Linked DNA regions of Pelodiscus sinensis. The protein of the gene in region 1 interacts with the protein of each later gene in a pairwise test. Links are inferred from orthologs where the notes say so. Each region holds a gene or a part of one and is shown on either strand. Other genes may lie near its edges.

Evidence for each region.
Region 2: the proteins of TNPO2 (region 1) and CAMK2D interact in binary tests that used the Homo sapiens proteins (3 or more experiments, as listed by UniProt). The two-hybrid records come from large-scale screens. The link is inferred for Pelodiscus sinensis from reciprocal best matches to the Homo sapiens genes TNPO2 and CAMK2D.

What each region holds. Positions count from the first base shown.
Region 1 is NC_134729.1:13,327,709-13,332,603, reverse strand, and holds the start of TNPO2 (transportin-2), read right to left. Parts: upstream 2,970-4,895; 5' UTR 2,622-2,969; coding exon 2,604-2,621; intron 2,452-2,603; exon of another isoform or gene 2,314-2,451; intron 1,920-2,313; coding exon 1,806-1,919; intron 1,472-1,805; coding exon 1,396-1,471; intron 245-1,395; coding exon 95-244; intron 1-94. UniProt on the Homo sapiens protein: Probably functions in nuclear protein import as nuclear transport receptor. Serves as receptor for nuclear localization signals (NLS) in cargo substrates.
Region 2 is NC_134715.1:32,404,739-32,409,633, forward strand, and holds the start of CAMK2D (calcium/calmodulin-dependent protein kinase type II subunit delta), read right to left. Parts: upstream 3,537-4,895; 5' UTR 2,294-3,536; coding exon 2,226-2,293; intron 913-2,225; coding exon 818-912; intron 1-817. UniProt on the Homo sapiens protein: Calcium/calmodulin-dependent protein kinase involved in the regulation of Ca(2+) homeostatis and excitation-contraction coupling (ECC) in heart by targeting ion channels, transporters and accessory proteins involved in Ca(2+) influx into the myocyte, Ca(2+) release from the sarcoplasmic reticulum (SR), SR Ca(2+) uptake and Na(+) and K(+) channel transport.

The DNA.
Region 1 (4,895 bases):
ACGCAGGTGGTGTGAGCACAAGCCGGGAAATGCTCCTTCCAAGTGGCCTCCAACTGCCCACAGAGCAACCCTGTCTCTTCCCCGCCGCTCTTACCGATCGTGGCTCTGATAAGTGACGAGCCGTCGCCGATGTTGTTCAGACATTCCTGCTTGATGAACTCCGCCACGGGCTGGGGGAAGCTCTGGTAGTGCGCCTTCACGTTGTTCTTCAGGATCAGCCCGCTGAGCGAGCGCGTCGGTTCATCTGGTGAGAGAAGGTTTGGAAGGGGACAAACAGAATTCTAAAAACTGCTGTCGCTGCTCACCCCAGAGGTGGCTGCTTGTCTGAGAGCAACCGGAGGACAAGAGATTCCGATATGGATCTAGAGCGCTGACGGCCTACGGGCGAAAGGATGTGAAGCATGAGGGGGTCTGCTTCCCAGGCACCCGTGCCTATAATCCCAAAGCACGTGATGGTTCAGGATACAGCCAGCTGCCTTTTGGGATGCTCGCGCTATACCTTCATTTGCAAAGGCCATGGCTTGCCATTCCTCTTCCAAGACAAGCTCCTTTGCAGGGCACTGATAGGCATGGCCCGATCCACGGCAGAGCGAATACCAGCCTCGCTTGGAAGGAGGCCCAAAATGAGCAGGAGGGGAACTGACTCACTGAGATTTCAGAAAGTTTAGCAGGGAACAGATCAGGAGTACCGGCCACCACTAGCCCACAGCTGGGAACGGAACACAGCAGTCCCAGTTTGGAGAGGAAGGCTGGCCCACTGGTTACAGCATTAACCTGGGACACAAGCTTCAATTCTGTTCCACACAAACAACTTTGGTCAAGTCATTTAGCCACATCATGCCTCAGTTCCCCATCTGTACAATGGGCACACAGCACCTCCTTGCCAGATGGAGACATGGGGGTGGGGGCAGCACATAGCTGCTAACAGTTACACACGTCCCATCTCCTGACTCAGTCTCTCTCGCTCTCACAGAAAGGCCAAGAACCTTGGAGTACAAGATTCCCTACTCTAATTCCCGCCACCTCAACAAATTTCTTAAACCACTTGTGATCTAGCCTAATTCTTGCAGCACCACCTCTGGAAAGCATGAACTTCCAGCTAGTCACAAGGAACTAGCAGCAGACATTTCAAGAAGCGTGATGGCCTTACGGGGTCAGGCCTGAATCAGATACAAACTCAGTTAACAAGCAAGACAGCCTAGCACAGATGTCTCAGTGAAGGGCTTCCCTACTCAAGGGAACCAACCTCAAAATACTCCGTTTTCTCTTCTCTTGCTTGCACACATTAGCCCAACAATCCCCAGTTAGGGAATTTTTCATGAGAGAGATACTTAATGGCAAAGGGAGAAGTCCCCGTGTATTTTCCATGCACTTCCATCGAGGCAGATTACGTACCTTCCGATTTCAGCCGTGTCAAGACAAATATCAGGTAGTTATTGAAGTCAGGATATTGGTTCAGTTGCTTCAGTTTCTACAATGCTAGGTGAAGGAAAAAGGCACATGGCACAACACAGGAATTTCAAGGGAAGACAGATGCAAAGATCTGCACGAAACAGATTCTGGGTACCATTAAGGACCAGACAAGCACCCTGCCAAGCTGCATGTCAGCAACAGATTCTTCAATGGGACAAAAAATAAACCCAGACAGGAATACTAAAATCTCCCCCCATGTTAAGGCTCTGCCAGGCACCTTGATGTAAAGGGTTTTAGTTTTCAGCATAATTTACTGAGCTAGTGAAGCAAACACACACAACTTGGCTCTGCAATGGCCTCCTAGCGAACCACCTGGCTTATTCCAAGGATACGTCCTGGACAACACGCTGTGTGGCAGTGTTAGGAGACTGAGAATCTTTGAGTAACTGCAGCACTTGCTGTAGTCCCTGCTCGTCTGGCTGCCAATCCATGGTGCAGAGCGTTAGCTACAGAGGAAGGAAAAGAGGTTAATGATACTCCATTCAGCGCATCGCGCTACAACTGCAATGAAGAACACAAAGCATTGCAGAACTCTGGCTGTCAGCCACAACAAGCCTTCACTAGCAATGACTGGACACAGCTCTGATCCAGGAGCCTTTTCAATATACATGGGTCCTTCCTGCCATCATACAGAGGCAAGAAAAGTTTCTGCTGCCTCGGCAGGAACCAGCCTTGCTGAAAATGTTATTTTCGTTTTAAGGTTGGAATGTGGGCGTAGCGGGGATCATATTAGTGCAACATCTTACAGAGCTAAGAAAGGGCTGGATCGGGCCCTTGGCTGAAAGAGGCATGGTTTGCCCACCCCCGCAGCAGCACATCCATCTCCAGGGATGTACGGACCTAGGAACAACAGCAGGGAAGCCACTGGAGAAAGTTTAGGCGAATGATGTGAAATGTTTCCTTTTGCTAAGGGATCTCCTGCACTGTGCAATCGACCTCCCAAGGGAAACACCAAGAAATGGGATATTCGGAATCGGGCTGGAGAAGAAAAATAAGTAAAGGAAAACCCCTAACTTCTAGGGTTTCCCAAATGCTTATCACCAAGAAACCAAACCACATGGGGAGCTCAGCAGAGGCAGAACGCTCAGGGGATATGAAGAGATTTTTTTTTTGGAGGGGCATTTCCTCACCTTTTCTATTTGGAGCATTGCTGGAACTCCCCTACCAACAGCCACAACCAGGAGAAACACGTGGAGAGAGACTGAGCCTCCACCCCCACCATTTCCTCTCTGCCCCACCCTTTCTAGAGCAGACCCCACTGCCTCCTAGCCCATCCCTGCTTCGGGCAGGCCGTCTTTAAACAGCCCCTCTTCCCACTCCCTGCTGATCCAGCCCCAAATCCCCCTCTCCAAGCTGAGTCAAGATCATGGGGTTCCCTTGCATGGTGCTATCTGGGCCAGAGGGGAAAGAGAGAGGCTCCGTCATCCCCCAGCCCAGAGGAACAGGCCCAAGCTCCATCTTCCTCTGCTCCAAATGCTTCTTTCCTCCCCGGCACCTCACACCCTCCAGTGACTGCCCCCAACTTCTGTCCCACCCTGGAGCCTTCCCAACCATCCCTACCCTCGGCCCCTCCCCCGCCAGCCCTCGAGAGTCCCCCCTCCACCAGGCTCGTCCCACCCCCCTCCCACGCACCGCTGGGCTCCCTCCTATACCCCCCCCCATCTCCCAACCACCCCACTCCCTCTGGGCTCCCCCAGTAGTGCCCCCACCCCCTGACCCACCTCCCTGGCGGCCTCAGTTCCCCATCCCCCCATTGCTCCCCCTCCCCCCTCATCCCCCATTGCTCCCCCTCCCCCCCATCCTCCCCCCTCATCGCTCCCCCCTCCCCCATCCTCCCCCCTCATCGCTCCCCCCTCCCCCATCCTCCCCCCCTCATCCCCCCATTGCTCCCCCTCCCCCCTCATCGCTCCCCCCTCCCCCATCCTCCCCCCTCATCGCTCCCCTCTCCCCCATTGCTCCCCCTCCCCCCCATCCTCCCTTCCCGCCCACGGCCCGGCGGCCACGCTGCCCCCGCCCGCCTCCGGCAGGCCCGGGCGGGCTCGGCGGCCTAGGCGGCCCGGCGCGGCGGTACCTGCCCGGCGGCCCGCGGCGGCCTCTCGCGCTCACGCTCCGGTGGCGGCTCCCGCGGCCCGGCCCGGGAGGGAGGCGGCTGCGGCGGCAAAACGAGCAAACGCGACACGCGGGCGCTGACCCCTGCCGGCCGCCGTCCCCCGCCCTCTGGCAGCCCCCCCACGTGACCCGAGGGAGGGAAAGCGGGGCGTCACGTGGTGGGAAAGACGCGGGTACCGGTCACGTGATAGGAGGAAGAGGCGGGATAGGCCCAAGAGAAGCAGAAGACCCGCCTCCTTCCCCAAGCTGTTGAATCAAACTGAGATTGAGGAGGGAGGCAGGACTTCTGGGTTCTCTCCAGCTCTAGGAGGGGAGTGGGGGCTAGTGGTTAGAGCTGGGAGGCCAGCTCTGGCCAGGGGGTGGGGACTAGAGGTTATTCATATTACAGTAGCATAACCTAACAGCCTGGTCTGCACAGTCTCACTATACAGGTGTCATTTTTAAACAGGTTGGTTAAATCCATACATAAGAACAGCCATTCTGGGTCAGGCCAAAGGTCCATTTAGGCCAGTGTCCTATGTTCCAACAATGACCCATGTCAGGTGCCCCAAAGGGAATGAACAGAACAAGGAATCACCAAGTGATCCATTCTGAGTTTCTGACAACAGAGGCTACGGGGATTGCCCAGTGGGGCTCTGTGTGTGACCCAGGAGACATTTTGTTTAGCATTGCCCGTGTGCAGGGCTACCAGATTCCACTGGTTTCTGTCCATGTGTTTTTTTCCCTATCAATATTATAAAATTGACACACATGTAAAGCAAGAACACATAAAGTGAGGTGCATGGTGAACGTTGTAAAAGCTGTGCGCTCCTTCTGCATCCCGTCAAAGCACTGCTACGGTTCAGTTAGCATGCTGCAAATTCTACATGAGCAACATTTCCTAATCCTGTTAGCAACGTTACCTAATCCAGGGAGACTGTTTGAGTTTCGACAATCTTGCGGCCCAGTGACATGAAGGAGGGCCTCTCATGGGCCCATTCACTAGCCTAATAGCCACTGATAAGACCTATCCTCCATGAATTTGTCTAACTCTTTGTGAGGAAATGTGGTCAAATCAGTTGATTAAATGTGGTCTATATTGGTTGGGCTTGCCCTCATAAACTGCGATCAGTTTTAAATGGGTCCACACGGGTTTGCCCTGGTTTAACTAATTCATTACAAGGTTGTGTGTAGGACAATAGAGACAGAGAGCAACCCCACCTCAAAGGATTAACCCTTAAAATAGAGAAGACACACAGGGTGGAAGCAGAAAATGGGGCACAGAAAAACAAAACAACTTGCTCAAAGTCACGTAGCAGGTCAGTGGCAGAGCT
Region 2 (4,895 bases), on another chromosome or scaffold:
TCCTAGTACAAGCAGGTTAGTGTGGATTTGCCAAAGAATAAGTATGAGACCTATTTTCAGCAGTCCTAACACAATACATAGTTTATTTAATGTTGTTTGTTTAATGTTGTGTAAGCACAGCGCCACTGACAGCGTGTATACATGCACACAGCTACACAGTTGTAATATATACCCACATTTACACCACATAAGGAAAATAAAATAAAAGGAGAAAAAAAATGTGTCCATGAGAGAAATAACAGTACAAATGCTTCACTGAAACATCACTACTTGGTACACAAATAGTTACTTCATAAAATGTCTACCCTGTTACACATCATCTTCATTTGAAAAACTGTATGGGCAGCAGATCAGTTTTTTTCCCTAAAGGCGTTCACTGTTAAATATGGCTTGATGAATTATGTTCTTATTTAAATACAATGAAAGAATGAGATTCAATTAAGCTTTGACCTATTTCTTTTAATAAAAGCTACAGGAGTGCGTTCTCAAAAAATACAAGAAAATAACATTCCAAGCTCAAAATCACTCACAAAAAGCTTTTAACAATGCTTTGAAATGTGTATGTCTTTCCTTTTAGCATGGCAGAACAGTAATCTCATATCTAAGCGTTGCCAAACGTTATTCATCAACATGGAATATCTAATCAGTATGTTAGAGAAATGGAAAATATAAGGAGAAAAAATAAAATGTCTCCTGAGTGTGTAAATGCTTAGATATACTACTAAGCCAAAAACAAAAAAAAGGGGGAGGGAGGGGAGACTGGGGATGAAGACAGGGAGACACAGACACAGAAAACATTGGGTTGAAAAATACCCACCTCTAGCAGACAGCTTTTTGGTGTTGATAATTTTGGCAGCATACTCTTGTCCTGCAGGAATTTTCACACATCTTCTTACAACTGAGAATGCCCCCCTGAAAACCAATAACCAGACAAACATCAGCACAGGAGCTATAATATTGATAATGATTCTAATAATGTGAGTGTTTTAACTGATTTGATTGAAATGCATATTGTGGATGTAAGAGACAGGCAAATGAGCACGAAATGGCAATCATTATTCATTTTATAGACTACAACAATTAACTGGATTTAAAATATAAAAGTGACCACAAGTCACGGTAAGCAGTTTTAATATATGTCCAGAAAACTGTAAGTGATGGTATTTACACACCAGAAACTTGCACATTTCACTGTTCCTCGACTCAAAAGCCTCAACTGCTCCCTGACTACATTACAGTAATCAAACCTGTTAAGTGTAAAAAAACAAAACCAAACCTGTGTAAAAATTACACCTCCGGCTTTGTCAATGTGGCTATTATATTTAATTAAATTTAAACAGAGCTCATTCATGTGAGTAAGAAGTGTATCTTAATGAACACAGCGCTACACAGGGACATCCTACTCCTTGCAGAAAAGGAGCATTTGAATTACACTGCTGTTTACAACATTCTCCATGTTTTTGATACCAAATGGTATCCCCACAAGCCTTTTCAAGTCATTTACATAACAAAATGACACACCAATGAATTCTCAATTTAAACAGAAAGCAAAAAAAAAACTGGAGAGTAGAGAATAGTTAATTTCAAGTATGAACAATACACAGCCATCAGCTTGTGTGTGAATAATGTATGAATGTCTGGATATATTTTTGAGTGTCTACATAAACCGGGCAGCTTTTCTGACCATGGGCAGAGCTCTCTCATCTACCTTGGGTTTCTCTTACCCTAGTGAGAATGGTGGCCGTAAATCCTGAAGAGATGATAGATGCAATGTGACATTACCAGCAAGAACAACAATAATTCTTCACAAATAACAAGAGGACGGGAGGGGAGGGTCGCCCTTCCTCCCCATTGGAAGTACTGGATGCAAGAGATACTGTACATCCAGCTGAACTTTCTGCCTCAATAAACGTAGCACCTAATTGTATCAAGTATAAAACAGACAAGCATGCAAAGCAAGCTAGGCAGCTGTGTCTAAAAATTATGCATTTATCCTTTAGATTCGTGCATGGAGCTGAATCCTCCCTCCCCCTAGGACAACTCCAACTGCAGAGCTTAGCAATGCAATGAAGACTCCTTTGCAAAGGATCTGAGGCAGCAGCCACCACCCCCATTCCGAACAAAAGCCACAACTTTGCCCAGCCGCAACCTGTCAAACCACTTCCCTTGCTCCCAACCGAAATCCCCCTCCTCCCCTCGACCCCTTCCCCCACCGCGGCGCTTACTTTCCAAGCTCCTCGAAGAGCTGGTACTCGTCGGTGAACCTGGTGCAGGTAGCGGTTGAAGCCATCATGAGTCCAGGCTGCTCCTGCCGGTGCCTCGGAGGCAGAGAGGGACTGGGAAGAGGGGGGCGGACCGGAGGCGAGACGGGAGAGAAGCCGCGCTTCTTCTCCTCCCGGCGAGTCGGCGTCACCCTTGCTGGCTTCTTTACTTTCTTGTTGGATAGTCGGCTGGGGCTGGGCGGACGGGTGGGGCGCTCCACGCCGCCGGGCGAGCTGTCCTTGCCGCTCGTCCCTCCCCTAGTCCTTCTGCTTCAGTATAAGCCCCTCAAAGGTCGGGCTTGGAGAGGAAACGGCCCGCGAAAGGGAAACCAAAACCAGCCGACAGGCAGCGCGGGAAGGCGAGAGGCAGCCCAGCCAGCAGTGACTAAGAATAAAACAGCTGGGCGGCTGGTGGGAGGAGGAGCGGGGAACTGGAACCCCGCAGCTGCCCCGGTCCACTCCGCCTTTGCTCCGCGCGGGGCTGGGCCCTGACCGCGGCAGCAGCAGCCGCCGGCCTGTGGGGAGCTCTGTGCGGCTCGCCCGGCCGCCGCTACAGCCAGCAGCAGCGCAGCGCTAGGGTGGGGGGAGCAGACCGAGCAGAAGTAGTAGCTGGAGGTAGCGGAGGGGGGGGGGGGGTCTTTCTCCTCCTGCGGCAGCTGCTTCTGCCGTCCTCGTCTCCCTCTCTTTGGGGCACGGCTCCCTCTAGCGGTGCGCAACACGTGGGGGGGCTGCGAGCTCTCGGGGGGCTTTCCCCCGAAGACAGTCTCTGCGGCCACTCCCTCGCCTTCCCAAGGAGCCTGGCCGGTTCTCCCCTAGCAGCGTTCCCAGCGCGGCCGCCGGGCACGAGCAGCGGGAGAGGAGGAGGAGGAGGAGGGTGAATGTCTCACTGAAACACAGCGGCGCTCCGCTCGCCGCGGCGGAGGCTGGGCGTGAGCCTACCCCAGGCAGGAGCGGAGGGGAGAGCTCAGTGGCGGGGCTGCTTTGTGTACCGGGAGCCGGCTGCCAGCTCCCCGCGCGGCGCGGCTCGCTGCAGCAGCTGCACAGCCTCCCCGCTGCCAACGAGGCACGTGGGCTTAGTCCACAGCTGGAGGACGTTCCGCCTGACCTCCGCCCGCGGGCTGCCAGCTGCGCGCGGCCCGCGCAGGACCTCCCCCTAGCCCACCGCACGCGCGCCTGCCTCCGCCCTTCGCCGCGTTCCATTCCGAAGCGTCATAATTGACACGCAGCCCGGGCGCGTTCCAGGCAGCCTCCTCTAGGGCAGCGCGTGTTGCTTCTCGCGAGACTTGGCTCTAGGTTGGGGCGGGGCAGGAGCGAGTGAGCTAGTTAACACCCCCGCCCCCGTCTGGAGACGCTCTCTGCTCTCCAGCGTGCGGTGGGGCGCGGGCTTTAGCGCCGCTGCAAGGGAGGCGGGCTTGGCGTGATGCGTCCGCGTGGGGAGAGGTCTCTGCCTGGGGGCGCCAAGCGTCTTTCCTCCCCCCAAGTCTGCAAAACCGCATGGGCGCTTCTTTGTAGCTTTCCCAGCTTCAGCGACTCACTCCTCACTGGCAATCTGGCTTAGCGCCCGGCGAATTGCAGTAAATCGCTTCTGAATAAATGTGCACAGCATCCTGTTTTCAGCTTCATTTTGCCACCTTGTAATCCGGAGTTGTACATGGTGAAGTGTCTGTACACCTCCGGCTGCAGGCATTTAATGGTGTATTTTATTTCTTCTTGGGGGGGGGGGGGGAATCAGCCAGAACAATTCAACCAATTACTAACCTGGAAGGCTGGGGGAAAAATCCGTTCTTTGCCCATATGGAAACATTCTGCTGACCTTTTCTTCAAACAGCTGTGTGGTTTAAAGTAAAAGGTTCGGAAATGTGGCTAGTCCCAGGAAGGCGCAGAAACAGGCAAACTATTACTAAATATCTTTTAAACTTTTATTAAAGGGCTTTGTATAAAATCATAATTTATCAATTTCTTACATACATAGGCACCAAATAATTATTAGACTGTCCAATAAGCAAAATGCAATACAGAGAAGAAAATTCTTTGAGGTTTCTCTAAATCCCAATAGTTGTTAACAAGGGACTAGGGATTATTAACAGTTACATTTACATCAGTCTTACTTATAAGACTAATCATTTATCTAAAACTTTTAACACTACTACTTAACAATACCTCTAAACAATTTCAGATAACAATACTTACATTTAACAGACACACAAACTACAACAACATATTTGGTATTTGTTATGTTTGGTATACGTTACACTCTACAGGAACTCGTTTGGTTCGGTGAGCGGGAGGTGGCCCTCGGGTGATCAGTCCTCGGACCTGGCTCGTATTCCGCCATCCAATGTTTATTCGGGATTCCTCAATTTGATACAGGAGAGGAAGCTGTTTTATAGAGAAAGCTTTTGTGCGCTTTTTGTGATAGGCTAGCTGTTAAGTGACAGGAGTAAGGGGATGAGATGGTTTCCTGTTTTTCCTTTTCTGCCTTATCGGACATGGCACAACCAGCATGAACTTTACATGAACTTTTTGGGTCTGGTTTTGGTTCCTATTCGTCGCTGATCTTTAAGTTACATAGTGTAAGGGTTTTCATCAAGGGGAAGTTGACCTTTTGCTTGGATGGCAATACGCGCGAGAGGC